Tribolium castaneum: one gene and its partners. The protein of the gene in region 1 purifies or fractionates together with the protein of each later gene. This does not show direct contact. Links are inferred from orthologs where the notes say so. Each region holds a gene or a part of one and is shown in the gene's direction. Other genes may lie near its edges.

Region 1 (7,429 bases):
TTTGTGGGTTGTTAAGACATGTAGAAGTCCATAAAAATTTTCTGGAGTTAGTTAAAAAAAAAAAATTTTTTTCACCTCTTTGAAGGTGAGTCTTGTATTACTCAGGAAATTTGAGCAAAAAAATTGAAAATTTTAAATTGCGTGAAAAATTAGTTTAATAAAGAAAAAAAGCCGCTGAATCCAATGGGACAAACCGCACTGCTCTACGACTTTTAGTTTTCGAGTTATGAATTTTTTTATTGAAAAAAATTTTTCACTATGACAAATGGCTAGCCTAAATTTAGGCAAAAAATTTTAAATTTTTAATTCTTGTAAAAAATTGATATAATATGTAAAATGAGCCGTAGAATTCAATGGAACAAACCGCACTGCTCTACGACTTTTAGTTTTTTTTTTATGAATTTTTTTAATGAAAAAAATTTTTCACTATGACAAATGGATACCCTAAATTTAGGCAAAAAATTTTAAATTTTTTATTCTTGTGAAAAATTGATATAATATGTAAAATGAGCCGTAGAATTCAATGGAACAAACCGCAATGCTCTACGACTTTTAGTTTTTTTTTAATGAATTTTTTTAGTGAAAAACTTTGATCGTTTCTGTAGCCGAAACCGTTGCCCGGAGCGGCTCCGGGTTTGGTCGAAAAAAAAGACAAAATTAAGCGCTATCAGATGGTTTTTTGTTTGTTGCTTTAAGTCTTACAGTTTCTGAGAAAAACGCAAAAAAAGGTTTCCATTTTCACTTTTTTTCAATTTTCAACCGCCAATTATGGCGAAACTATTAGAGTTATCGAGAAACGGAAAAATGGAAGACAACTGGAATAAAAAACTCTAGAAAATGACATCGAACTCAAGGCGATATCTCGTAAAAAAAATTTCAATTTTCAAACGCCGATTACGGCCAAACTAAAAGAGCTAGAGAAAAACGGTTTGTTCCATCGTAAAGAGCACATCAAAATCTATAAGATAGAATAGGTTTCATTTGATTTTGAGACACTTTAAAAATTGACCGATTTTAAGGGGGGGTGTTAACTTTTTTTTTATTTTTTTTAATTTCTCATTTACGGCTAAACTATTCCAAAAAATGGAACTGTTTTAATCCATACCCCTGCAAAATGATCCGGGGAATCGATTGGCATCAAAAAAATTGCCAAATTCCCAATAGTTTTTTAGTTATAAATTTTTTAAAATTTTACCAATTTTTGCATTTATCAGCAATTTCCTCGAAAACTATTAGTCGGAGAACAATAATCTTTTTTGAAAAAAATAGATAATTTAAAGAGCTTTCCAACGATAATACACTTCATGGGGTTATCTCTAATAGTTCCGGAGCTATTGCTCGAGAAATGTTCCGGGTACCCAAAACCGACAAAAACTGCGACGAAAATTGAAAAAATCAAACATCAAAAAATTGAACATATGGACTTTTTGTGGACTTTTAACAGCTTTTGTGGGTTGTTAAGACATGTAGAAGTCCATAAAAATTTTCAGGAGTTAGTTAAAAAAAAATTTTGTTTCACCTCTTTGAAGGTGAGTCTTGTATTACTCAGGAAATTTGAGCAAAAAAATTGAAAATTTTAAATTGCGTGAAAAACTGATATAATATGTAAAATGAGCCGCTGAATCCAATGGACCAAACCGCACTGCTCTACGACTTTTAGTTTTCGAGTTATGAATTTTTTTATTGAAAAAAATTTTTCACTATGACAAATGGCTACCCTAAATTTAGGCAAAAAATTTTAAATTTTTAATTCTTGTGAAAAATTGATATAATATGTAAAATGAGCCGTAGAATTCAATGGAATAAACCGCACTGCTCTACGACTTTTAGTTTTTTTTTTTATGAATTTTTTTAATGAAAAAAATTTTTCAATATGACAAATGGATACCCTAAATTTAGGCAAAAAATTTTAAATTTTTTATTCTTGTGAAAAATTGATATAATATGTAAAATGAGCCGTAGAATTCAATGGAACCAACCGCAATGCTCTACGACTTTTAGTTTTTTTTTTATGAATTTTTTTAGTGAAAAACTTTGATCGCTTCTGTAGCCGGAACCGTTGCCCGGAGCGGCTCCGGGTTTGGTCGAAAAAATAGACAAAATTAAGCGCTATCAGATGGTTTTTTGTTTGTTGCTCTAAGTCTTACAGTTTCTGAGAAAAACGCAAAAAAAGGTTTCCATTTTCACTTTTTTTCAATTTTCAACCGCCAATTGTGACGAAACTATTAGAGTTATCGAGAAACGGAAAAATGGAGGACAACCGGAATAAAAAACTCTAGAAAATGGCATCGGACTCAAGGCGATATCTCGCAAAAAAATTTTCAATTTTCAAACGCCGATTACGGCCAAACTAAAAGAGCTAGAGAAAAACGGTTTGTTCCATCGTAAAGAGCACATCAAAATCTATAAGATAGAATAGGTTTCATTTGATTTTGAGACACTTTAAAAATTGACCGATTTTAAGGGGGGGGTGTTAACTTTTTTTTAATTTTTTTAATTTTTTTATTTACGGCTAAACTATTGTAAAAAGTGGAACTGTTTTGATCCATACCTATGCAAAATGATCCGGGGAATCGATTGGCATCGAGAAAATTGCCAAATTCCCAATAGTGGTTTAGTTATGAATTTTTTAAAATTTTACCAATTTTTGCATTTATCAGCAATTTCCTCGAAAACTATTAGTCGGAGAACAATAATCTTTTTTGAAAAAAATAAATAATATAAAGAGCTTTCCAACGATAATACACTTCATGGGGTTATCTCTAATAGTTCCGGAGCTATTGCTCGAGAAATGTTCCGGGTACCCAAAACCGACAAAAACTGCGACGAAAATTGAAAAACTCAAACATCAAAAAATTGAACATATGGACTTTTTGTGGACTTTTAACAACTTTTGTGGGTTGTTAAGACATGTAGAAGTCCATAAAAATCTCATGAAAAGTTGGTATAATATAGAAAATGAGCAGCTGAATCCAATGGAACAAACCGCTACGGCTAACCGTTCGAAAGATATCGTCAAAAATATAGTCTCGTTACAAAAATGTCTCAACTAAACTTATGTTATTATCTTTATTTTTTTCACCCCCTTTATATTCCGCAATTTTCTTTATTTCTGTAGGATCATAACGAACGATAATTTTCCTGGTGTGAACTTGGCTGTAGAAAACGAAAATGGTAGAAGGGGAAATGGTACTAGCTCCATGCGCGCAGCAGTTGTCTGGTCGACTGTAAGTTTTGGTGCGATCCTAACCGACATTGACGAGAACGCTGTCAATTGAGTGTAAAGTCAACTGTCTCACCCAAACGTCAAACTGACAGTTTAGGTTAGGTCAAAACACCCCCAAAAATGACCACAACAAAGTCAAATATGCGCGAATTGGAGGCGGCGGCCAAAGACTCGGCCCGGGCGCACGTGGTGAACATGTTCCAACGTCCAGGCCAGTTGGAAAAAGTCGACCACTTGAAGCGCCGCCTCACCCGCAAGAAAAACTCCGTGGAGGCGCTCCTCAAGTCCGCGATGCAGCAACAACTCGACGGAGTCCGCGTCGGACTCAACCAACTGCACTGTTGTCTCGAAGACGTCCGCGAGATCGACTCAAGCATCAAAAAAATGTTCACTCTCTTCAACGAAGTCCCCGACTTGTGCGCCAAGCTGAGCCAAGTCCGGGACGAAAACATGCGGCATTCGCAGTACGTGACCGCGCGCGAGAACTTGAAGCACATCTTCACGGTCCCCGAAAGTGTGGAGAAGACCAAACAGTGGATTAACGAAGGGAAATTGCTCCACACCCATCAGTGTCTGAGGGATTTGGAAATGTCCCGCGATGATTTACTGTACGAGTTGCATAAGTTGCCAAACCAGTCACCGCATGATAAATCCATGCTTAAAGCGTACTTTGCCGACGTTGAGACTTTGTCCAATTTATTGGAGAAACAGTTGAGGCTGATTTTGTCGCGTACGCTCAACACGGTGCGGAAGGAACCTACTGTGATTGTCACAGCTCTCCGGATAATTGAACGGGAGGAGAAAACCGACCAAGAGGCACTTAAACAGGAAAAACAGACCGGGTTCTTGCCCCCAGGGCGGCCCAAAAAATGGAAACAAATGGCGTTCGAAGTGTTGGAAAAGTCAGTCGCTACTAGAATTGAAGGCACGCAAGTCGACGAACGCGATGACAACAAACACTGGCTCATTCGTTACTTGGAATTGACGCGGCAGCTCATTTTGGAGGACTTGCGAGTTGTTAAAACACTGTGTGTCCCGTGTTTCCCGCCCAGGTACGGGATCATCGACAAGTACATACAGATGTACCACCACTGCCTGTCCCGCCACTTACAAGAAGTGATTCAGAACGGAATCGAAGGCAACGAATACGTGACCATCCTCTCATGGGTCAGTAAAACCTACCAAGGGGTTGAGCTACTGGGCCACCCGGACTTGGTCGAATACACCAAACACCTGGAGCCTTTGCTCCCCCAGCCCGTGATGGAGACCCTCGAGGCCGAGTATTTGCGCAACATTGAGACAAACTACGGGGAATGGATGCGAAACACCCTAAACTCAGAGGAGAAAGAGTGGCGCTCGAACATCGAACCCAACTCGGAGAACTACACCCGCACGGCAGCCCCCATTATCATCTTCCAAATGATCGACCAGAACTTACAAGTCTGCAAGACGATAAGCGACGAAATGACGTGCAAAGTCCTCATCTTGAGCATAGAGCAAGTCATCAATTTCGGGGACATGTACCGGAGAGCAATCGTCGAGTTCAAAAACAAATACTTCGAGGACCGCAAGCAAGTCCCGTACTTCACCCAGTACATGATCATGATCGTCAACAACTGCCTCCAACTGGCCGATTTGGGGTCACAGTTGGAGAAGCAGTACTGGGCCCCCACGTCGCCGCCAACTCTCGGCGATCATTTCAACCGCTTGCGGACGACTTTCATCCAGTTGCGCAACGACTCCGGCGATTTCTTACTCGAGGAGTTGTTCCTGGACTTGGACAAACACTTTGACGAATTGTTCACCCCGCGCTGGCTGGGGACTTCGCACCCCGTCGACACGATTTGTGCGACTCTCGACGACTACTTCCAAGACTACAATCGCCTCAGCGAACCCAACTACAAGTTTATTGTGCACCAGGCCCGCGCTTTGGTCTCCAAACGCTACTTAACCGCGCTATTGTCCAAAAAAGGCACTTTTAAGACGTATGAAGAGAGCGTGCAAGCCAGCGGAAAGATCGTCAAGGAGGCCAATCAGTTGGGAAAGTTACTAGACACACTGTGCAGTTTAGAAGGCGATGACCCGTTTGAGAGCGTTATTTTGTTAACGGAAGTATTGAAGAGCGACGATGATATGCTATCCTTTGAGCTACATCGGATTGTTGAAAAGTATCCCGATATCACCGAAGATCATTTATTGCGACTGTTGAGTCTGAGGGGTGACCTTGCCAGGTCGGACATCCGCGATAAAGTCGCGCATTTGCCCAAAGTTAAGGCCACGCACCAGAGCAGCGTGTTCCGGACGCTGGTGTTCCCCAAACTTGTTAATCTCAACGTATTCAACAATTAAATCTATAAGATAGAATAGGTTTCATTTGATTTTGAGACACTTTAAAAATTGACTGATTTTAAGGGGGGGTTAACTTTTTTTTTTCTCATTTACGGCTAAACTATTCCAAAAAGTGGAACTGTTTTGATCCATACCAATGCAAAACGATCCGGGGAATCGATTGGCATCGAGAGAATTGCCAAATTCCCAATAGTTTTTTAGTTATGAATTTTTTAAAATTTTACTAATTTTTGCATTTATCAGCAATTTGCTCGAAAACTATTAGTCGGAGAACAATAATCTTTTTTGAAAAAAATAGATAATTCAAAGAGCTTTCCAACGATAATACACTTCATGGGGTTATCTCTGATAGTTCCGGAGCTATTGCTCGACAAATGTTCCGGGTACCCAAAATCGACAAAAACTGCGACGAAAATTGAAAAAATCAAACATCAAAAAATTGAACATATGGACTTTTGTGGACTTTTAACAACTTTAGTGGGTTGTTAAGACATATAGAAGTCCGTAAAAATTTGCTGGAGTGCGTTTAAAAAAAAATTTTTTTTTCATCTCTTTGAAGGTACTAAGTGTATTTATTACTCAGAAATTTGAGCAAAAAAATTGAAAATTTTAAATCTCATGAAAAGTTGGTATAATAGAGAAAATGAGCCGTAGAATTCAATGGAACAAACCGCAATGCTCTACGACTTTTAGTTTTTATTTTATGAATTTTTTTAATTGCAAAACTTTGATCGCCTCTGTAGCCGGAACCATTGCCCGGAGCGGCTCCGGGTTTGGTTGAAAAAATAGATAAAATTAAGCGCTATCAGATGGTTTTTTGTTCGTTGCTCTAAGTCTTACAGTTTCCGAGAAAAACGCAAAAAAAGGTTTCCATTTTCACTTTTTTTCAATTTTCAACCGCCAATTGTGGCGAAACTATTAGAGTTATCGAGAAACGAAAAAATGGAGGACAACCGGAATAAAAAACTCTACAAAATGACATAGGACTCAAGGCGATATCTCACAAAAAAAATTTCAATTTTCAAACGCCGATTACGGCCAAACTAAAAGAGCTAGAAAAAAACGGTTTGTTCCATTGTAAAGAGCACATCAAAATCTATAAGATAGAATAGGTTTCATTTGATTTTGAGACACTTTAAAAATTGACCGATTTTAAGGGGGGGGGGTGTTAACTTTTTTTTTATTTTCTCATTTACGGCTAAACTATTTCAAAAAATGGAACTGTTTTGATCCATACCCATGCAAAATGATCCGGGGAATCGATTGGCATCGAAAAAATTGCCAAATTCCCAATAGTTTTTTAGTTATGAATTTTTTAAAATTTTACCAATTTTTGTATTTATCAGCAATTTCCTCGAAAACTATTAGTCGGAGAACAATAATCTTTTTTGAAAAAAATAGATAATTTAAAGAGCTTTCCAACGATAATACACTTCATAGGGTTATCTCTAATAGTTCCGGAGCTATTGCTCGAGAAATGTTCCGGGTACCCAAAACCGACAAAAACTGCGACGAAAATTGAAAAAATCAAACATCAAAAAATCGAACATTTGGACTTTTTGTGGACTTTTAACAACTTTAGTGGGTTATTAAGACATACAGAAGTCCGTAAAAATTTGCTGGAGTGCGTTTAAAAAAAATTTTTTTTTCATCTCTTTGAAGGTAAGTGTTTTTATTACTCAGAAATTTGAGCAAAAAAATTGAAGATTTAAAAAAAAATTTTAACCTTCTCCTATCAATTCTCTAGTCAAAAAAACTTACATAACAGAACGTTGCTCGAATTTAGAAAAACGAAAACACACTATTAGGAGATAATTCCGTATAATAATAGCTCCCTATCACGCCATTTCCTCT
Region 2 (7,193 bases), on another chromosome or scaffold:
AACCCAAACCAATAAAAACGAACCAGTGGCGATAACAACGCAAACTTTACTTTTTGTATGTTTTTGGCCACCGGTGGCGGATTTTCGGGTATTGTGGGCTGCACCCCATCGATGCACAACCAATGGGACCTCAAAGACACCTCAAGTGGTGCTTTGGCGTTCAAATTTTGCAACAAATCGTTCAAAACCACCTCCTTCTCCTCAATAAAATGAAGCTCACGTCCGCCGCCTGATGCAAAACGGAACGGGAGGCCTTCGGCCGATTGGAAACCGTACTGGGGCTGTAAGACACAATGAGGTTAAATAACCAAAAAGCCCACATACCTCCAAGTTTTTGGCTTTGAGGGCTGCGTCAATGTCGCTCTGCATCAGTTTTGTTCGTTTGGCATGGTGGACGAACTTCGCAGCGTCTTGAATGATGTGTTTCAGTTTAAATGAGATGTCTTCAGCTAGTTCCTTTGCAGCGTCGTCGGGCAAATTTCCAATTCCGATGCTTTCGGCTATTACCTTCATAGATTCGACGGATAAATTCGTTCCGTATAAGTCATTTTCAGCGTTTTTGGACATTTTTCAAGGCAAAAAGGGGGCCAAAAATTGGCATATGCGCTTGTTTTGTTTACCAGTGGTGCCAACTCGAGTGGCACGCACGACGAAAACACCAACACATGCCGCATAACAACAACATTAAAGAACCAAAGTATTAAAGGATCATGAAGAAGAGTGCACTTAATTGATTTAATCGTGTGGGGGAGAAAAAATCACAACGAACAATTGTTTGTTCGAAAAAAACTGACAACAATCGGACCGAAAGCAGGTTCCTGTAAATTTGACGTCACCACAGATTACCATCCGTTCATGGAATCATGTCACTTGTTCGCACACTTGGGTTCAAAAATAGCACAAATGAGGCGCAATTCTGTGATTATAATAGATTTATTTTCAATAGAACTTATAGAATATAAATATAACATTAATAATATTTAAATTTTACATAATGTAATAAATCATAGCACATTAATTAATTGAGTGTGAATCACATTCCAGCGTTAGTAACTAAACCAGTCGGATTCAAAGCAAAGCGGAAATGTCCCAAATTTTGATTAGCCGGTCCTGTCCGACTGTTACCAATTTTTTGCGAGTCTCGTCCAATCCCATCGCTGTAATACTATGCTTAGCATCATGGAATGTGGCTAAAGACACCCTCCTGTAAAAAACTTTAGCAAGACATAACTTCACCACTTGCAACTCACTCTCTATCCCTTAACAAGTGGTGACAAGGGTCACAGACACGCACTGCGAACTCGAAACCCATCGCTGGAATTGTTAATCTACCTGTGGAACATTTCTCGCAAACTGCTTTCCCGCAATGTCTGCAGTGGTGTTGCCGTAAACCCAACTGTCGCTGGTCCATCATGGCTCGGAAGTTCCAAAAGAACGGTCTTCCACACAACTGACATAAATCGGACTCGATCCACTCGGGAGTCTCCTGACGCGTTTGGTTCATGTCCCAGAAGACCAGCACCCCGTCCTCGCCCGCGCTGACCAATTGTTTGGTCGAGTTAAGGTAGCACAAAGCAGAGACCTGTAATATCACATTCACTTGTTTCCACAATTTTGGTAATTTTTGGCACTGTTGCCAATTTAATTTCAAATGCCGATCGCCAACAAAAAACAAACCTTGACCTACGTAACCAATAAACAATTATCTTTGCTTCGGAAAAAATCCAACTGCGGTTGTAATAAACAATGTTTACCTTGTTGTGGTGACCTTGCAGCTCGTAGGCGTTGCCCTGTTGCCCCCCTATGTCCCAAACGATAACAGTTTGGTCGTAGGAGCCACTAAATAACATCTGCCGCTCGCTGTCCCAAGCCAGTGACCTAACAGAGCCCGAGTGCCCCTTCAAAGTTGTGATAACACTAGGGCCCGCATTATCCAATTTTAACATAGTTATTTGACCAGAATAATCCCCAACAAACGCATGTTTGGTTTGTGCATCAAATCTGCAAAAATTAAAGACATGACTCGAAAATTTTCCGCAAAAAATTAGTACTGTAGAGAGGTGCACCAGGCCTCAGCCGTGTAAGTCCCAATGTTGCGGCCGGTTTGTGTGCAATTGTACGAAAACACTTTATCCCTGCTCACGCTCAGAACCCATTCGCAGTTGATGGCAAAAATAATTTCGGTGACTCTTGCCTGATGTGCTAGGTACTCCCGCACTGGCATCATTCGGTTGAAGTCTGATGCCAGCGAGAATTCTGACACGGTCCCGTTTTCCTGTCCTATGAAAAGTTGCCGGGTTTCAACTGTGTAAAAGACCGAAGTGGCCCCACTGGGCATGTACTGGCAAATGCTGGGCCAGTACTGGCCTGAGTCTCGCTTCAACCAAACACGTACCGTTCTAAATCACAAAAATGAGGCGTAAAGACCGGGTTTGGGAGCGACTTACTTGTCATCTGACACACTTATAACCCCATCTTCGCCCGGGATCAAAACGGCGGCGTTTATTTCGTCGCTACAACCTTCCAGTTTTGCCAAAAGGGCGGGCTTTTTCGTTGTGCAGAATTTGTCGTTTGCTTGGGTTGCTGGCTTGATTTCCGCTGCCATTATTAATTAATTTGATTGTAATTATAACACTGTTTTTAGGTTTGACACTTTTGATTTGACAGTTTTACGACGCAGTTGCCGATAACAAGCGTCCCTAACCAACGATAATGTGCAAAGAACCGCAAATGACAATCACACAAACAAGTTACAAACGATAACCCACACGTACATGTCGACCACTTGCGTGGCTCACTCTAATGTTCGCTCACAACGCCAGATCTATTGACAAATTACTTGTCAAACCATTGAGGTTATAGGAAATGGCACCGCCTCCCTTTTTGTGTTAGAAAAAACTTTATTATCAAATAAATAATTATTTTTTACACCATGGAGCCCACAAAAGAACCGACTTTAAGTTTATTTAGCTCGAAGGAGTTTGATGCGGGAAAATGTAACATAATTAATAAGACGTAATCACTTGGTGATAATTAGGTTCTTTTAGATGTTAGGGAATTGTCTCAAAGTTGTGTGGGGGGCCCCGAATTGCGACGCCTCCGTAAAAGAATTCAGTCACTGTCTGAGGACACCAACAACAATTTGAAGCAAAATGTGTACCGCAATTACACCCAGTTTATTGACACTGCTAAAGAAATATCTCGTATTTTTTTAATTTTTACTTAGTTATAAGTCTGACTGTTTTTTGTAGACTTGGAGAGTGAAATGTATCAATTGTCACACCTTTTATCTGAACAAAAATCCTTATTAGGTGCCTTATCAACAACTTCGATTTTGGGCGAAGAAACTCCAGTTATCACAGAAATGGAAAATAGGGACAATCCCAAAGACCAAGGTGACGAAAACCGACAGAAATTAGCCTCAATTTTAGAAAAAGTTGAGGGTTGTAAGGTAAAGTGCCATTTTTTGGCGAATTTTTGTTACTATTGGTATGACTGGTTTAGGAATTGTTGGAAGTCCCTGGAAGGACTTATTTACACGAAGGGGATCTTTTAGAAGTTGACCCTCTCGATAATCACATCATCAAAACGGTCCATGCTTATTTATTTACAGACGGCTTTATGACTACTTGCAGAAATAATAATAGCCGGGGTTTAATGAAATATGTTTTTGAGGTAATGTACGAGTTAGGTAGTCTCGCGGTAGTAAATGTGCGGGAAATTGGTAACAACAAACACCAATTCAAACTATTGATTTTTCCCGACACTCGTGTTTTCCAATGCACTTCTGGCTCAAATAAGGTATTGCGAAAATTTAGTTTGCACAAGTTTACAAAAAAAAATCGTAGAAAGAGTGGTTGGATAAGTTCGACCAGGCCAAAAAAGCCCGTCTCACCCAAGACCAACAAAAACGCGAATCAATCGTGGAAAAATCGCCGTCTCGGTCCGCCTCAATCGATTCCCCTAGCCTCAACCGTAAGTCGGCACCACTGTCACTTTTCCCCTATTTACCCCACTATAGCTTTTGAGGAAATTGAGGACGAGGTCGGGACAGTACACCCGGACTGGTTTCTGGAAATCCCCGAAGAGTTAGACGTTTGCGTTGCCCAAAGACACTTTGAGGACGCTCTAACTTTCCTCCAAAAATCGAAAGACTACATCACGCAATTTGTTGCCACTAGTGGCCAACCGGACCACGTGATCCTCGACATCCAATTAAAAGTCGAGCAAAGGCGTAACCACTTAACCGAAGTTCTGATGAAAGAACTGGAAGTTAATCCAGACAAGTCACAACAAGGGGGCTTGCGGGCCGCCCGCCGGGCCGTGAGACTCCTCAACCAGTTGGGGCGCTCCACAGCCGCGTGTAATTTATTCCTGAAGTTGTGCAGCAACATGCTCAAAACGCAGTGTAAACGAGTGAAGCGTGAATGCTCCACGGTCATGTACGTGAGGCATTTGTCGAGTGTCGTTTTTACGAATATGTGTCACATGACTGAGGAGTTCCTCAGGGCTTTTCCCAGCTCGTCCAGCTGTTCGTCAGGTTTGTACAAAAATATTAAAACGGTGTTTTTGATAATATTTAGCGGAATTAATTAATAAAAAAATTTTTCAAAGCATACGTGGTGTGGGCCAGTAACGAGCTGTCCGTATTCACGACTCATTTCATAAAACAGGTGTTTATGCCGCAAACTTCGCTCTCTACTTTAACAGAATGTGTGGTTTTGGCCCGCTCACAGTGCGAACGAGTAATTTACCATTTCTCTCTTTGTAAAAAAATGAAATTGGTGGTTGTAGTTGTGTTCTTTTGGCGTTGATTTGTGTTACCAGCTAGATGGCGCTTTGCGCACTTCCCTAATGCAGGCCTTGAAGGACGCCCGTGACAAGTCGATAGAAGTCGCAAAACTTCGGGCTCTTGAAGATAAATGGATTCCTATGAATCTTCGAACAAAGACAGCTTTGGCCCGATTTTTGCAGGAATATTCCGATTTGGGGCTCAAAGTGGACAGTTACGTCACTGGCGATACGTGGATCCAACTTACAAACAATACGCTTGTTTTTACCAAACTGTTTTTAATTCTTTTGAATGATTGTTTACGACTTGAAACAACCGAACTGCTTTATACGATAAACGACGTTCTTTATGACGTTTTTGAGGCGCAAGTGCGACACATTGAAGCCTCCTTGCGTAATGAAAATCAATTAGAGGTAGCGTAAAAAACCGGTGCAATATCTTTATCAGAATTAATGTTTGTAGCAAAGGAAATTCATTACGAAAAATGCCGAATTTCTCCTGACTACTGTTCAAGACTTAAGCCAGAAAAAATACAAAGAAGCGATCGGTTTCGAATGCGCTTCACTACAAAAACTTCAAAAGGAATACTCAGCACTGACTAAAGGAGTCTCACCAACGAGTAGGAACACAAAAACAAAGTATTCATCAGAGTTTTTATAATGTGGTAAATGTTACAATAAATATTGCCTAATAAATACAATTAACTATTCAGATGGTGTTTCATGGCTGGTTTTAAGGCGCTTTTTGGCCCTGATGTCGGCCATTGTTTGCTCAATTGACCTGACGTCCTTTTTATTTTCGCTAGGCACTAAACAAGCAAAAATTAATCACTTGATTAGAATAAACTTTCTGATAAATGAATTAGTGAATTATTGGTTGAATTTAAATCGATTTAAGTACTATATTTTTTTGGGTTGATATTTTAACTTACCAAAGCCATAGCTCTTATTAGTCTCGGTTTTCTTGGCCGCCTCTAGGGCGGCTTCCTGTCCAATCAAATGCGCGTATTTGTCCCTATAATTAGAGTGTGGTGTGAACTTTTCCGGCTTTCTTTTAGTAGCTGCAACTTCTTCAATCTTCTCCATTTTTCTCTAAAACCCAAATTAGGAACAACCTAATTACGGTTCAAACGTACTTTTTCGATCAACTGCTGCCTGATTTGTTCATTCCAGGGGTCCCCTCGCCTCCTTGCCGCCAACTCGTCCTCACAAGGAGCATTTTCTTTCCTGTACACCCTGACATACCTATCCACCCCATCATTACCAAAAGCGTACGACAATAACCCCGCACTTTCGGCAGCTTCGTGGCTAAAAAACTGTGTAAATTCTCATAATACGAAAAAATAACCACACAAATACACAATGCTCCGATAAATTTGGTCCATTGGCTCAAATTTCAGCATCGTATTGTTGGGGTCTTTAAAGTGCGACGCTAATTTCGACTCGACTCGCTCTTTAAACCGTTTTAGACGCTCCTTTTCCGCTGTTTGTCGTTTTTCGATTTCCTCTTTTCTCTCTGAAATTTGGGGTGATGAAGGTTATTGAGGTTAAATCACTTACTTTTAACCAATTGGCGTTCTTTTTCGCTCAAACTTGGAGGTTTCTCCATAGAGTTCATAATGGAACCCAATAGATCCATCGTGGGTGTTTAAAGCCCTTGGTTTTTCGAAATTAGGGCTTGGCCAAAAATAGGAAATCACAATAATATAACCAAACTTTTTCGAACTGTCAATTAACTTTCACGAGTTGGGCCAATGAGAATTTGTGGCGGGAGTTGCCAGTGGTGATGCTACTCATGATTGGTTGTTTTCAGATTTGAAACATGGGACGGGAGGTGGTAAATTTAAACTCAATAGTTTTAAAAATGTTTTATTCAGTAGCAAGTCACAACATAAAAAGATACACTTATACTAGAAATTAAATAACTTAAATTAGTTTCCACGACGTGGCACAAAGCTCATTGCCAATCACAACCTGGCGTGTGGAGCTCGCTGATTAGCTATCACATTACCAAACTTTACATTTCTTTTTCGGGTTCATTTTCGAGCCTAGTGGACAACTAAAATCTTTGGCAAAATAGTCTAAATTACTGAAAGGACCAATGACCCGGAAGTAGCCGGGCGAGTGATATCCGGTCAAAACTCGCAATTTTAATGATTCTGGCCGGTATTTCGCACACCATGTGTTTGCGGCTGATATCCAGAACATCTGATTTGGGGTGTATTTGAGTCCAGGGAGGGTTTTCTCAATGCCGTGCCGTTGTGTCCATTTATTGTAGGCCAAATAGGCCTCTTTGATACCACCATTATCGGCGATATTTTCTCCTTGAGTGTTAATTCCGTTGAGCTGGAAGTGGACACGACGGCGTTATTCAAGGCCTATAAGCTACCAAACCACTACTA
Region 3 (7,232 bases), on another chromosome or scaffold:
TGTGGATTACGTGGACGACTTCGGCGTCGTTTCGGTTCAGTCGCTCCTCTTCAGGTCTGCTGACGAAGAAAGGACCTGCAGGATCCAGTGCCACGATCCGCTTAAGTTTTTTTCCGGTCAGTTCTTGCACTTTTTTGCCCACGAATCCAGCGATCTGGCCTCCGAGTGAGTGGCCAACGACCAGGAAGTTGTCAAGAAGAACAGCATGGTCTTTGTGCAACTTGACTATGAATTCGCCGATGAATTTTCCCACGTCTTTTGTGTTCCAGGACGAAACTGTGTATAACTGGAGGGCAGGGTCTGACCAGTCGACTTGCACGACATGGTATTCCTTATTCCTGGCCAAAAATGCATTTTTCAGGTCCTCGTACCAGTCTTTCTCGCGTTTTTCGAGCCATCCGTGGATTATGAACACAATGGGGACATTTTTCTTGGCCAGTTGTTCGGGCTTTGATGGGTCCAACTCAACGTAATCTTCAAGATTGTTTTTCGTGAACAAAAAATACGTAATCTTATCGGGGGTTATATGCTCGTTGGTGATCTCCTTGGCTTCAATTGCGGTGTGTTTGTAGATTTTGTAAAAATCTTCTTTGAAGCGCTCCTCAATTTCCGCTTTAGTGGATAATAATTTATTGTTTAAAATTGTAATTTTTCAAAATAGAAAGTCTTACCACGAAGAGGAGAAACTGCGAGGAACAAGAGTAAAAGCAAAAACGGTGGTCCTTGCATTTTGGTTTAACAAATACTGAAAAAACTGATTAATAAAAAAATCGTAAAAATTTTAATGGGTATTTTAATTAAAATAAAATAGCAGCGATCACGACATTAATTGACGAATTATTAAATTTGCGAAATTTTAAAACAAGTTTACCTTTGTCAGCACTTACAACGTCTCTAACAGAAAACACACATTAAAATGAATTCCGGAGACAAAATTCCGAATATCAAATATACCCACTATCAGGTTCTTCGTTTTATCACTTTTTTTCTTACAAAAACAATTTCCATACTTGTTGGTGTACTTTGAGTTTTAAAACGGATTGATAGGTATAAAAATTTACACAAACATAATGTTATTTATAGAAAACAACATCACAAACAATGAGATTACTTATGATTGTTGTTGCAGTTATTTATATGAAATTAATTATATTCTAGATGTGGTTTTTTATAAAAAACACTTTAAAAAGAACTAATTTTGTATAAAGTAAATCAAAACGAAAATAATTGGCAGGATAGTTACTTAATCGTAAAGTTTTGTTTAATGGTAATCTTTATGAGTTTCTGGGATTAATTGGGGTCATCGTTAATAATTCCAAAATATTACCCAATTCATGTGATAACGAAATAGTGTACTTGTATTAATTTTTTGATTTATTTTAAATAAGATATCAAAAATTATTGAAATGAAATGTTTTCCCACAAGTTTTTGAAATCACAGGCTCGCCAATCTGAGACATATGAGAGTTTTTCACTTTTCTACATAAATGTTGGCAGTAACTTTAACCTAGAAGAGCAGAAGGTTATAATTTAGGAAAATAAACACAATAATCATGAAAAAAACGTAATAACAAAGAAAAATAGAAAAATGTCGGATTCGGAAGATGATTACATGTCTGATAAGCTTTTAATGAAATGGTAACCTTGCAAGCATTAAGTAATGTTTGCTTAATTTTCTTTCAAATTTAGTGATGAAGACGTCCGTCCTGGACTAGTTTTCAACCGCACAACGAAACGAAAGTATGAACTAGAGAAAAAAAGGCAGGAGCTTTCGGCCAAGAAGCCCAAAAACAGTAAAGAAAGAGAAGAGGAGCGAAGACAAGAGGGCTTGAACACTGCTATTTCAAATGACAACAAGGGCTTTAAATTGTTGGAGAAAATGGGTTTCAAGCAAGGACAAGGTTTGGGAAAATCGCAGTCTGGCATAACAGAGCCCATTAAAATAGAACTAAGGAGTGGCAAGTCAGGGGTTGGGTTAGAAAGCCATTTTAAGGAAAAAGTTACCAGGAAGAAGGTTCACAAAGAGGAGACTCTTGCAAAGAAAATGGACGCGTTTCATACAAGTATTAAAAATAAACAAGCCCAGAAGTTGCTCTGTAAGGATTTTGTTAAAGCGCAGAGAGCTTGTGAAGATTTGGATTTAAGAAAGGTGAACACGTTGCTAACGAGTCAAGTGTGTTATTTACTTGTTTTAGAACACTGATGAGCCAATTCAGGAGTTTTATTGGACGAGGGAAACAATTAAGAAGAAGAGAGGTGTTCAAGACGATGAGGAAGAAGAGGAACAGTTTAATGAAGAATTTGATTCCTACTTTACTGATGAAAATTTAAGCGAACTAATTCATTATCTAAGAAACACGCATTTATATTGCATGTTTTGTGCATTTGTCGCAACTGACGAAAATGACTTAAGTACAAGTTGTCCAGGTCCTAACAGAAGCGATCACGATGACGATTAAATAAATTGTGATTTTTAATTTATGTTTTATTTATTTAGCAAATAATAAATTACACAATATTACAACCTAGTTTTTACACTTTACACTTAATAAAAAATTAATTGTTATGCTCATGAAGGGTAAAATTTGCAACATAAAAGTATGAGTGTGAATTACTTTCTATGTCCAAATGTCTTCAGATCTACCAAACTTGAATATGAGTGACGCGATAAAAATAAACACGTTCTGCAAAAATATAGCGACTCCCGGCCAATAGTGAGGCACCTCTGTAAAAAAACTCAATTAAAGTTTGCAATTTTTTACAAAAACTCTTACTCTTGTTGACGAAATCAGCAAATAATATTCCACAAGAGGCAATCACAGATGCAAAACCCATTACAAAACCGACAAAAAGCCACACTTTGGCGCCTCGGGGGCCCAAACAGCCCCCCTCATAAGCGTCGCCCCTCATTTGGGCGTTTGAAACGGAATTGATCATTATCAAAGACACGGCCCCCACGACCCCACACATGTGGTATCCTGCTAGGACAGTCCCTGGGTATACACTTGCGGCATCGATTATTATCCACCAGCCTACGAAAAACTAAAATTTGGATGAATCATGTCCAGTTGTAGAGCACAAAAAAGCTCACCAAAAACCCCGAGATCATTGAAGCGTACGCATTTCGCCTATCACCCCCTTCGAACCAAATACACGGCGGAATATTTATATTTTCAAAACAGTCAGCTATACCCATTTTTTCCCGATTTAATGGCCTTAAATGTAAACAAAAACGATATTTTTTTGGTGATTATGAACTAATGACTTGGGGATTTTATTGTGCGTTTGACGTTTCGAGGGCTTGGTGACACTGGACGTCAGCTGATTAAAAGTTATTTTTTAATTATTTTTAATTAATAAGTCGAAACCACCCAGAAAAAAAATCGTGTGTGATAACGCGCACCCAAAATATACCAGAAATTGTCATAAATTGTAGTTTTAACACCAATAACAAAGGTCTACTTTGTTGTAACCTAAGATTGGTTGGACGTCAAACTGACAGGTGTCAAGTCAAGCCAAAAATAAATAAATTCATGTTTATATCTCCTCCAGTTTAAAGGAAAAAATTTCGCGTCAAAATGATGCAACAATATATGAAAGAACTGGAGCAGGTATTTAACTCCACTTGTAAGTCTTTGCATAAACGCCCCCTAATCTTTAGGAACCGTTTGATGCTGAAGAATTTGTTGAAAGATTAGCTTGGCGCACAATAGCTGAAACAAAAAATGACGGTGATGAGGACTTTAATCCAACATTGCTGCATGACTCGTTTGTTCAAGCTATTAAGTAAGAATTAGGCTTGTGTAAGTCCCATAACTGGGTTCGTTTTTGTAGAGACTTAACTTTGCTCCAAGAAAGGCAAAAAAAGAAATGTGAAAGGCTCGAAGCCGCCGTACGCGAAGACGAAGCATTGTTTTTTCAAAAAATCCACGATTTATTGGGGCAAAATAAAGTAGGTTTTAAATTGTGTTTGCAAAATACAATCCTCAATTTTAGCAAGCCATTGATACGTTTCAAGAGCTAGACGGAAAAATTAACCATGTGGCGACAAAAGTCCTACACTTGGGTGACCAGTTAGATAGTGTTAACGGACCTAGGGCAAGAGTTGTTGATGCAAAAAATCTAATGACACATTTGAATGAATTCTTACAAACTGGCCCTCTCACTTCAGAAATCTTCACCGACTCGTCAAAAGTATTTTTAATTTTTAAATCAACATTTGTTCAACATTTCTTGCAGATTGATGAAGCGGCAGAAGTGATACAAAAGTTGTATTTAATTTCACAAGACCTGCCCTCACCAAAGTAAAAATTTAGATCAATAATTGTAACAACAAACAATATCATGTTTTAGATTTGAGGGCTTAAAGCGCAAAATTGAAAGAAAGTACGATGAGACAGAGCGGACTTTAATTGAAGAATTCTCAAATGCGCAAAGGAGGGACGATTTCAAAAGAATGAAAGAAATCGCTAATGTTTTATCACAATTTAAAGGCTACCCCCAGTGCGTTGATGCTTACATTGAACGGAGTCAAGCTGTAAATATTATCATATTATCATTCCTCTTGTGGAAACAATTTTTTTAGGGTTGCTTGTTGAGTAAAGATGTATTTTCGCGTTTGTTTCCCTTATGTGAACTAAACTACGATGTTATTAAGAAAGTATTTAATAACCCGGAACAAGTATTGGCAAAATTTGTCCTAAATTTGTATCATTTGAAACTGCAAGAGTACATCGCGTCAAAACTATCCTCGAAATTAGATAGTTACAATTATTTAAAAACTTTGTACGAGTTATATGACAGGTAATTACACTCTGAATGATCCACCAGACTCACTTTTTATTTTAGAACCAATCAGTTATCGCAAGATTTATCCGTTTTTAACATGGGGAGCGACAAAAACTATTTAAATAAGCTAACAAGTAACATTTTCAATAAATACATCGATAATTACATAGCGTGAGTTTCCGTACTGGTTTGTTCCAATTGTTTTAATTAATCATAATGCAGATTAGAACTAAAGTGTCTCAAAGAACGCAGTTCTGCCAATTTGCAACGTTACTACGAATCAAAAAACCACCAAAAGAAACAGATCCAATCTGGCGGGTATTTTTATTATTTCGTGTTTTTCCCTTTGTCTAAATTTGTACAGGTTCCAAGACTTGAGACGCGACATCCAGGCCGTAATTGGGACAAGGGCCAACATTAACATAGCCCAGATTGAAAATTATGGTGGCGAAACATTCCTGTCTGAGGAATTAGCAATTACAATTTTGCAAGACACGAAACAAGCGTTCCAGCGTTGTCAGCTGGTACATAATTTGTGTAACTGAATGAAAAACAATCTGTTTTATTTTTTAGCTTTCAAAGCCTGAAGACAAGGCGTCCAATGCCAGTCAAATTTTAGACCGTTTGCTCAATTCTTTGCTAATTGAACACGTAGATTATGCGCTGGAGTTGGGGCTTCAGGCGATTCCTGTGGTAGAAGGGTCCAAGAATCCTCCAACTTTGTATTTCTTCACAGTGGTGCACCAGAGCAACAATATAACGCACTTGCTTGAGAAACAAATCACTGATTTAGCGGTGCCTCTCATTATGTAATTTCTTACAAAATTGTATAACGTATCTCAGATTTGTTTTTAGAAATACGCCAAAATACAGCGATTGCATGCAAAAGAAAAAGTTTATTTTGGAGGATATTGAACGGAAAGTTAACACCGGACTGGACAGGTGACACCCAAAAGTAATGATTTACTTTTTTAATTATTTTTCTAGAACTTTGAATGCTGTGGGAAGTTGGGTAAAAGTCTACCTGCAATCAGAGCAGAAAAAAACCGATTTTAAACCAGAAACTGACGACTTCGATACGGTCGCTTCTCCGGTAAATCACTTCCACGTTCTGCATAAAATAATTCCGATTTGTAGGCGTGCAAAGCAGTTTCCCAATACATAAGTAATGTAATTAAGGAGATCAAAGACAATTTGGACGGTAACAACGTTACTGCCATTTTGCAAGAGCTGGGAATTCGATTACATCGCGTTATTTACGATCATTTATTGCAGTTTCAGTTCAACACCGCGGGTAAATCAATTAAAAATGGTTTTGTGTTGGCTAATTACGATTTTTAAGGTGCAATGGTCGCAATTTGTGATTTAAATGAGTACCGATCATGTACTAAACATTTAGGTCCGCTTGTGGCCGAGTTGTTCGAAACTTTGCATGCGCTGTGCAATTTATTATTAGTGAAGCCAGAAAATTTGCAACAAGTGTGTTCAGAGGATTCTCTGGTGAATCTCGACCGCTCGGTTTTGCACAACTTTATCCAGCTTCGGAGCGATTTCAAGACACAAAAACAAAATTTTCTCAAAGTGTAATAAGGAATTATTTGTTAAATGATTAAATAATAAAGGCATATATTTACTATTTTCTGTATCATGTTTGGACCTACGTTTTAAGCGCACGCTTAGAATTCTTTAGCATTTTTAATTATTATTTTCTTTGAACGAATTTCGTTTCAAACTTCCATTTCGCAAATTTTTCAATTAAAAAAAAAAGATTTATGTCACTAAAATTTTAAACAAATAAGTATAAAACATCAAGGTAAGTGTTTCAAAATATTCCCTACTCTGCGAAAGCTGCAAAAAAATGTAGAGAATTTTCTATATTTTTTCTAAGTCAGAGACAGCATAGCAACTTGAACGGCTCTACTGAACCACCAAAAGATAAAACTAGTTATGTAACGACTTTCATTTGAGATCTAAGCCGTAATTAGTTCTCCGTAACGCAAAGGCATGACTTTGCTTTTAGGGAAGTATGAATGAAAATCCGTGAAATTAAATGATTTGTTTTTATTATTACCGTTTACAGTTGAAATTGCAATTACTTAATTCATAATAGGGGTATTCAAACTAATCACTGAGGGTCGTTTTTACAGACATTATTCTGTGTTTAATCCTACAAGTCGTTCCACATTTTTAACTACCAAGACTCAATGAAATATGTACATTTCCATTAAGACTTCAAAAATTGGACACTCACAATTGAAACTTATGATAATGTTTAGGAGATTCTTAATTATGACGCTGCTGCCAGCAACCAAATAAAGGGAAAAGCAAATTTGTTAAGAAAAATCGTGGCGACATAAAAAAGTAAACCTAAGACTAGCGTCAAAATCGGGGCCTGTTTGAAGTCATGAGATTTCGGGAAGTTAAAGTAAGCACTTGTAGTAAAA
Region 4 (7,369 bases), about 3.2 Mb from region 1:
CCACGGCCAAAACAGCTATCGCTTTCCCCATATGATAATCCCATTCGTTCTTTTTCTTATCTTTCGAACCTTTCGTTTCGGTCGTTTCGGGAACTTCGACCTTTTCCTCGACCAATCGCAACAATTCCTGGATTATTAACACATCCCCACTTCCGGCGTAAGCGCACATTTGTAGCATGGTCTGGAAGATGGTCCGAAACGGCTCCTCAAACACATCCGCCACAATCGTCGGAACCTCAATCGCATCCTTGGTTCCGAAATATGCAAGTGCCACGCCCAAACCAGCCAATAACATGAAGGGACTTTTCAGAACGTCCAATCCGTTCGATTCAATCATTTTCGTCAAGATGATGTCCGATAATTCGTTATTATTTCTCCCGAGACTGATCAAACCGCATGCAAGACTCGCCACGCCCAAAGTTTTGACCAATTTCGAGCTCTGTATCACCGGTAGGAGGAGATTCAATACGTCGCTCCGCCCACTCCCGGCGTACGCCAATCCGATGCCTAGCACCGCCCCAACTTGCAACTCCTCACTGCCACTCCCCACGTAATCGCCCAGTAGGGCAAGGGCCGGGTCGCAGTCGTTTCGAATGCGACAATTGACAATACCAAGGGCTAGTAACGCGCCAGCTTTGATATTATCATCACTGGTGTAGAGATATTTATCAATTGGGGTCAAACCGCCATCTACGTCCCATAAGTATAGTAAACCCAGAGCTGCAGTGGCACTTAACATGCCAACATCTTTGTTTCGATAAATCCATTTATTGCCATCGTCGGTTGTCAAAAGTTTATCAGTGCCAAAACCAGCATTGACGAAACCGTTGACGAAGGACGAGGCCAGATTTTGACGGGCACTGTCCAGTTTCTCGCCGAGGACGCTCTGACGCAGCGTTACGGGCTCAAGCCAGGTTTTGTACACCTCTTCGGGCGATTTCGGCTCCATTATATCAAGCTAAAGCGAGAAAAATTTGAATTTGGCGCCGAAACACAAGGCGGGAAATTTGAATTTCTTCCGGAAATTTCGCATTTTGACCCCAAAATACAACATCACAAGACGGAAAATGGCAAATTTAAGCCAAATGAATAAAAATTGTCACTAACCTCACGTGCAAAACTTAAAAAATAGTGGCTCAAGTGACTATTCTCGAGAATGCTCCTCACGTCGTCATCGTCGAGATTAAATTCGATTGGGTAGAGGTGTCGGGCGCATATGAAGGCCATTTGATACAGTGTGATCCTAAAAATGAGTGAAAAATTGTTTGAAACGCCGACTAGATTACTTGTCAGTGCACGTATTGAAGAGTTTCTCGATCAAAGCCGAGTCTTTGATTTGAATCGCGACGACCAAACAGCGACAATGCTCCTGAAAAAGATAATAGAACTGCGAAATAAGCTTCAGTATTTTTTTGCTCTCGAGATCGTCCACATATTTTGCACAGGAGGCTAGGTACAAGCAAATGGGCTTGTAGTTTTCCCTCGTGACGTAATCGAAGAGCATGTACATCTGGTTGATTTCCATTAAAAGGTCGCAGCCTTGTATCTCGTCGTGGTGGCTGCAGTTAAACCTCATGATCTGCTTGACAAGGGGGCTCAGAGTCTTGTAGTTGTTCTCGCACATGACCCACTGTTTGACGATTTCGATCTCCAGCTGGCGGATGTATTCATGCCCCCAATCGCCGATGTTCTCCATCGTGCCTTGGAGACAGTACTTGAGACAGTCGAAGTCGCGTTTCACGCTCCCGTCGATAGCCCCCATGGACAGGACGGAGACGACATCGGAGAGATTTTTTTTCAGGAGGGGGTCCTTCATCGAGTCGCATTTGTTGCGCAGGGCCCCGTAAAAAGGGGCCAGGTATTTGAGGGGCTTTGGGACGGACGTCATGGACGAGGTTGAGGTCCGTATTAAGTACTTTAACATGTCGAGGGACACATTCACTAGCTTCGATTCGTCACCCTGTATATATTTACGTGGTTTTTTATTATTTTGATGATGGAAAAACTCACCGTAATTCGGTCCACGAGACCCTTTAGCTCCACTTGTAATTCCTTATCATCGTCCGACTAAAATTTGGGCCCCGTTTAAAGTATTAAATAAATAGGGGATTTTCTTACGTCATCTTTGGGAATCACCGGTTTTCGGATTGCTGCAGCTGCCATTTCGGCGAATTTTTGCAAAAATGGGCAAAAGGAGCGACCGTTTCAAATGACATGCAAAAATTTCAATTTGACGTTTTGGCGTTTCCGTTTCCGCCTAAAAGCTCAATAAAAATTGAAAATTAAATTATGGATAAGTTTGATATGCCTTGTGACGGTCCTAAAGGTCATTCGGATTGTTTTTCTTAATTTATGCCGTAAGGTTTAATTTTTTTGCAGATATTTTTTAATTCGTAAGCTTGCGCCATCTTCTGGCCTAATAGGTTAGTGTTTGGTAACGTACCCTAACCTTATTTAGTTTTTGCCGCTTGTTTCATAAGTGCGTCTTAAGCCCCTTTTGGGTAAATAGCCCCAATTTAGTGTTTGTTGGTGTCCAGAAATTGAAGAAATTGCTCAAATTACCGATGTTTTTACGATTAATGGACGGCGGTAAGTCCGAATGTCGCTTTAGAACTTTTTAAAATCCAGATTTTTTATGTGGGTAAAGTCCCCATTTTGATGTGTTTATGAGTTTGTTTAATTTTATTTGTAAACAATTAGCTCGGGGCCGTCTAGTATAGCAATTACCACGGCCACTTTGCTCCTACAATTACATGATTACGTCATAAAAATTGAATTTTAACTAAAAGAAGACAGCTTTTATTAACAAACCAATGAATTAAATCACTATTATAACTAATTTTCACTTTTTTATGCTTCTACTATGTTTACGTGCCTCCCTGAGAAATCCCCACTTGTGTTGTCCGTCTACAGGGTGTCCGTTTTTCGAGCTCCACTATGGGGATCTCAGTTGTGATAAGAGTTACGAGATCGGTTAAATTAGGGCAAAGTTGCACGTTGTTATGCTGAACAAGTATCTGAAAGAAAATTTGGTGTGCCATTTTTGGTTTTTGAATTATTGGGAAAAATAAAAAATTACTAATTTTCGTTTTTATTTTTTTAAGAAAAAAAACTAAAAGAACTAGATGTTTTTAAGTAGGAAATCCTTTAGGCACTTTTTACAAGAAACCTAAATCTGTCATCGTCTTTTCCAAGGCGTTCTTGATGTCAGAGTTACAACACTCAACTTTTAACTCTGACATCAAGAACGCTTTGGAAAATACGATGACCTTGTAAAAAAGTTCCCGAAGAAGGTCCTACTTAAAAACGTCTAGTACTTTTGGTTTTTGCTTGAAAAAATAGAAACGGAAATGACAAATTTCCGTTTTCTTCCAATAGCTCAAAAACTAAAAATGACAACATTTTCTTGCACATAATTGTTCAGCATAAAAATGCGCAACTTAGCCCTAATTTCACCAAACTTGTATCTCTTACAATAACTGAGATCCCCATGGTGGACATCCTGTATATAAAAACTTCGGAAGGGTTCAGTAAAAGTCGTCGCACAATTGAATAATTTATTACTATTTTTGGAAGTTGGGCGTTTTGTAAAACAGTGTGATAATAATAACAAAACAAAAATGGAATAAAGGTATTATAAAAGAAATACCCATCAGTTCTATTTTTTTTTTTTTTCGTTACAAATACATATATCAGTGAACAGTGGTCTACCTGAGTGTAAAAAAATACAATTTCTTTGTGATATACATTGAAAAATCGTCTACCTATAAGGCTTCGAATACATTATTGTGTAAATAGAATTAACTAGCACTTTCTTTGGTAGGCTTATACTTAAATAATTTTATGACTAGTTTGATAATATCACTCAGAAAAAAATGAACTGAAAGTGAAATAAAGCAGAAATTATTGTCAAGTGAATAATGGAATTGTCGGTTTGCGCTCACTCCTGCTTTGAATCGTTTTAGGAACTTGATAAATGCTGTTTGACAATAATTTCCTCACAACGAAACCTTAATAAATCATTCGAATTTACTCATTTCAGTCTTTGGTCTAGAATATTAAATAAATATAAATATGTACAAAAAAAATTATATACAGAGCGGCCTCTCCGAGATTTATTTTTGGATTAGTATTGTAAAACGGGTCTGGAATGGCTATGTGGGCAATAATATCGTTTCAGTGCTTTTGATAAATAAATCTCCGAGAGTTCCCGTAACCTATACAAAGGGGGCTATACCCCGAACCTATTATACACATACTGACTGTTGACCCCGTCCCCCAAATTCTCCACCGCCTCCACCGTGGGGTTCATGACGTTGAAAAGAATTGCGAAAATCGTGCAGGCGGCGTACACCCCCAGCGCCACCCACCACAGCAGCTGCTCGTGCAACTTCTGCTCGAAATTCTTCAAGACAAGCAGGCCGATGGTGAGCCCCGCCAGGGCCCCCGTCAGGTGCGCCACGTACGACACCGGCGGCCCCATCGCTTCGGCGGCATACCGCGAATAGATGGCGTACCCCACGTCGCAGGAGGCTGAAATAACAATTGTCAGTTGAATTTTGGTGTTGTGATAGTAGTGTCTAAAATAAAGAAGTTACAATTTGGATCAGGATCTCCTGTAATTTATTGTAGCAACGTTTTCTTTGTACACAATAAAGTTTTACAACACATTAGGCGTACAACTGGTTATTTATCAAACAAAACTTGTGCATAAAGTGATACTGAGGAGTTCCTGCATTTTTCGAAAAACTTCGAAAGTGCAACTACATGGATTGGAAGTACCTATCCAGTAGAAATTCATTTAATTAATTGTGAACTGATGGATTTTGTGGATGGAACAAAGAAGGATGAAAAGCTGGAGAAGAAGGCTTTGGCAGCAATTGTGTTTCTTGTCAAGTCACATATATTTACGGAAGTTAGAGAATAGAAAACTGAAAAAGAAGTTTAGGATAGACTGAAGAAAATTTATGAATATCAAGGTTTCCCAAGAGTGGCAACTTTAACAGAAAAATTAGTTTTGATTCGTGACGCTGATAGTAAGGGAATGAATGATTATTTAAATCAGGAAATGAAAATTGCCCAACACTTGAAGGCAATAGACAGTGAAATAAAGGATAGTGTTTTAGTTGCTCTTAATCTACCAGAACTTTTTAAGCCATTAATTATGACACTAGAGAACTACAATACAGAATTAGCTACAGATTTAGTGAAAGGGAGATTACTACTATAAGCTGCTAAATGTAAAAAATGAAGGAAGAGAATCAGCTTAAGTAATGAAGTGGCATTATCAAAAATTCAAGGATTTTATTGATAAAAATGGTATTTCATCACACAAAACAGGATTTAAAGAAACATGTTTTAATAGCAAGAAGAAAGATCATAAAATCTAAAAATTGCTATTCTTTAAGGAGGAATTTCAAAGAAACATCAAAATTTAAAATCCAAGACATTGGAGTGACTTCAGTTTTATTGTATGTTAAAGGTAAGAGGATTGAAACGCCAAGTTGATTATGCTCCGGGTTTGAAATTTAATTTAATTTCATGAAAATAACTAGGGAAAATTGAAGACAATTGTTGAAAATCAAAGATGTGAGATTCGAGAAAAGAAGACAGGAAGACTAATAGCAGTTGCAACAACAAGAGATGGAGAGTTATATAAATTGGCTTATGTAAAAAAAATATACTTCACTCAAAAAAACTTAAAATAAAAGTAATTTTGAAATTAAAGCAGTCAAGTTTTGAAGAGGCTCGTAAAAATGGTTCATGATATGAAATTTGAAGATATTAAGGGGAATGCAACATAAGAATAAGTTTCATAAGAAATCAGTGCACAGGGCTAAAGAAAAGTTAGAACGATGGGTTAGAATAGTGATATTTGCGGTCCAGTGAAAATAAATTCAATTGGCAGAAAGCGTTATTTTTTAACTTTTACTGACGACCTTACAAAAAAAAACATCTGTGTATTTTTTAAAGAATAAATCTAAAGTTTTTGAAAAAATCGAGAATTGCAAGAAAATGGTTGAAGTTGAAACAGATCGTAAAATAAAATTTCTAGCACATGTGTAAGTTCTTCAATGAAGGAATTTTTGAAAAAAATCGGAATTCGTCTTCAAACAACACTTGATTATACACCTCCAAAGAATGCAACTTTGGTTGAAAAATTAAGTTAAGGTTTTTAGACAGAAGCTATACAGCTTGTTATTTGAAAAATAGAAGTCCTACTCTAACAGTAAATAATACGACTGCAGAAGAAGTTTGGACAAGACAAAATCAGATTTAAGTGAATTAAGAATTTTTGCATGTAAAGCATTCAACCATATACCAAACGAAAAACGAACTAAATGGGATTCAAAATAAGAAAAATAAATCCTTGTTGGATTTTGTGAAAATTCAAAGGCCTACAGATTAATGGTTGAAAAAAGTAAACTGTGGAGAAATCAGTGAAAATCAATTCAGCTTCAGAAGATTCATTTTACGAAGATGAAGAAATTTCTGGCTATTTTCCTGATGGAAATAATCCTTGAGGAAAGTTAAAGGAAGTAATTTTCGAAGGAAAAGTGCCAGAAGATACAAGACAAGAAGATTTTGAAATTCAAAATGTTATACATGAAGATGCCAATCAAGAAAAAATGACGATACCCAAAAATAGGCTGTTATATATGTGTTATGTAATATTCAGCGAACCAAACTCTTTACCATGTAATCCAGAAGATCTAAGAATTCTACTAATGCATTGATATGATTTTTTTTAAAACTGAACGTAGGAATAATAGTGTTAGGTTCAGTAAAATAAAAACAGTGTGTGTGTGTAGTTAGTTGCGAGAGTGTCAAAGTTACAATTTGAGTTTGTTTTAATTTCCAACTCCAACCCACCGATTGCAAGGATGCCGAACAGGCGCAGGATCCCGCACTGCATGTTGTTGTAGTTGAGGAGGACGTTGGCGAGGTGGGCCGCCAAGAGGGCGTAGACGCCCCCGGAAGCCCCCACGAGGTAGACGTCGGTGTCGAAGACGGAAGTGCCCAACGAGCCGGCGACGACGCCCGCCATGTAGATCAAGGCCACCCGACCCGACCCGTGCACCATCTCCAAGGGCAGGCCTACCAACAGTTGCACCACCAAATTGAAGCCCAAGTGCAGCCAACTGCAATTAGAGACACAGGAAGCGCTTTATTTAGTAAATCGAGTTGACAAAACAGGATGGAAGCGATTAATTCGATTGGATAATAAGTTCACGTGACTGGAATTTATGTTACTCACCCTGCGTGTAACATCATGTACAGGAGAAACCTCCATATTTCGATTCGTTTGTCTGGTCGGTAGATAAAAATGGAATCGATTGGTACAGGGCCTGCTGGGTTTAATTCACCA

The links.
Region 2: the proteins of Sec6 (region 1) and Exo84 purify together in Homo sapiens (affinity purification with mass spectrometry; 5 studies listed by BioGRID and IntAct, counting the BioPlex papers as one, with this or other methods). This does not show direct contact. The link is inferred for Tribolium castaneum from reciprocal best matches to the Homo sapiens genes EXOC3 and EXOC8.
Region 3: the proteins of Sec6 (region 1) and Sec10 purify together in Homo sapiens (affinity purification with mass spectrometry; 7 studies listed by BioGRID and IntAct, counting the BioPlex papers as one, with this or other methods). This does not show direct contact. The link is inferred for Tribolium castaneum from reciprocal best matches to the Homo sapiens genes EXOC3 and EXOC5.
Region 4: the proteins of Sec6 (region 1) and Exo70 purify together in Homo sapiens (affinity purification with mass spectrometry; 5 studies listed by BioGRID and IntAct, counting the BioPlex papers as one, with this or other methods). This does not show direct contact. The link is inferred for Tribolium castaneum from reciprocal best matches to the Homo sapiens genes EXOC3 and EXOC7.

What each region holds. Positions count from the first base shown.
Region 1 is NC_087399.1:3,908,889-3,916,317, reverse strand, and holds Sec6 (exocyst complex component 3), read left to right. Parts: upstream 1-3,271; 5' UTR 3,272-3,346; coding exon 3,347-5,575; 3' UTR 5,576-5,612; downstream 5,613-7,429. UniProt on the Homo sapiens protein: Component of the exocyst complex involved in the docking of exocytic vesicles with fusion sites on the plasma membrane.
Region 2 is NC_087398.1:809,697-816,889, reverse strand, and holds Exo84 (exocyst complex component 8), read left to right. Parts: upstream 1-2,835; 5' UTR 2,836-2,932; coding exon 2,933-2,996; intron 2,997-3,047; coding exon 3,048-3,203; intron 3,204-3,251; coding exon 3,252-3,451; intron 3,452-3,504; coding exon 3,505-3,801; intron 3,802-3,848; coding exon 3,849-3,975; intron 3,976-4,021; coding exon 4,022-4,540; intron 4,541-4,614; coding exon 4,615-4,745; intron 4,746-4,794; coding exon 4,795-5,205; intron 5,206-5,254; coding exon 5,255-5,452; 3' UTR 5,453-5,496; downstream 5,497-7,193. Other genes in the region: Taf6 (transcription initiation factor TFIID subunit 6), read right to left, coding at 51-281, 325-567; Wdfy2 (WD repeat and FYVE domain-containing protein 2), read right to left, coding at 1,069-1,204, 1,251-1,582, 1,755-2,001, 2,052-2,399, 2,448-2,605; sperm-associated antigen 7, read right to left, coding at 5,497-5,600, 5,724-5,883, 5,928-6,099, 6,151-6,307, 6,352-6,430. UniProt on the Homo sapiens protein: Component of the exocyst complex involved in the docking of exocytic vesicles with fusion sites on the plasma membrane.
Region 3 is NC_087396.1:19,819,654-19,826,885, forward strand, and holds Sec10 (exocyst complex component 5), read left to right. Parts: upstream 1-3,379; 5' UTR 3,380-3,578; coding exon 3,579-3,611; intron 3,612-3,661; coding exon 3,662-3,786; intron 3,787-3,834; coding exon 3,835-3,952; intron 3,953-3,996; coding exon 3,997-4,194; intron 4,195-4,239; coding exon 4,240-4,304; intron 4,305-4,353; coding exon 4,354-4,537; intron 4,538-4,585; coding exon 4,586-4,803; intron 4,804-4,848; coding exon 4,849-4,959; intron 4,960-5,010; coding exon 5,011-5,106; intron 5,107-5,152; coding exon 5,153-5,312; intron 5,313-5,361; coding exon 5,362-5,597; intron 5,598-5,643; coding exon 5,644-5,730; intron 5,731-5,775; coding exon 5,776-5,881; intron 5,882-5,925; coding exon 5,926-6,082; intron 6,083-6,130; coding exon 6,131-6,375; 3' UTR 6,376-6,424; downstream 6,425-7,232. Other genes in the region: uncharacterized protein LOC660185, read right to left, coding at 1-612, 672-729; G patch domain-containing protein 11, read left to right, coding at 1,589-1,638, 1,690-2,149, 2,196-2,459; transmembrane protein 50A, read right to left, coding at 2,619-2,725, 2,775-3,042, 3,092-3,196. UniProt on the Homo sapiens protein: Component of the exocyst complex involved in the docking of exocytic vesicles with fusion sites on the plasma membrane.
Region 4 is NC_087399.1:7,105,219-7,112,587, forward strand, and holds the start of Exo70 (exocyst complex component 7), read left to right. Parts: upstream 1-2,430; 5' UTR 2,431-2,589; intron 2,590-3,543; exon of another isoform or gene 3,544-4,231; coding exon of another isoform or gene 4,232-4,533; intron 4,534-6,873; coding exon of another isoform or gene 6,874-7,142; intron 7,143-7,258; coding exon of another isoform or gene 7,259-7,369. Other genes in the region: 26S proteasome non-ATPase regulatory subunit 2, read right to left, coding at 1-958, 1,108-1,243, 1,287-1,960, 2,011-2,067, 2,119-2,163; stet (uncharacterized protein LOC657740), read right to left, coding at 4,232-4,533, 6,874-7,142, 7,259-7,369. UniProt on the Homo sapiens protein: Component of the exocyst complex involved in the docking of exocytic vesicles with fusion sites on the plasma membrane.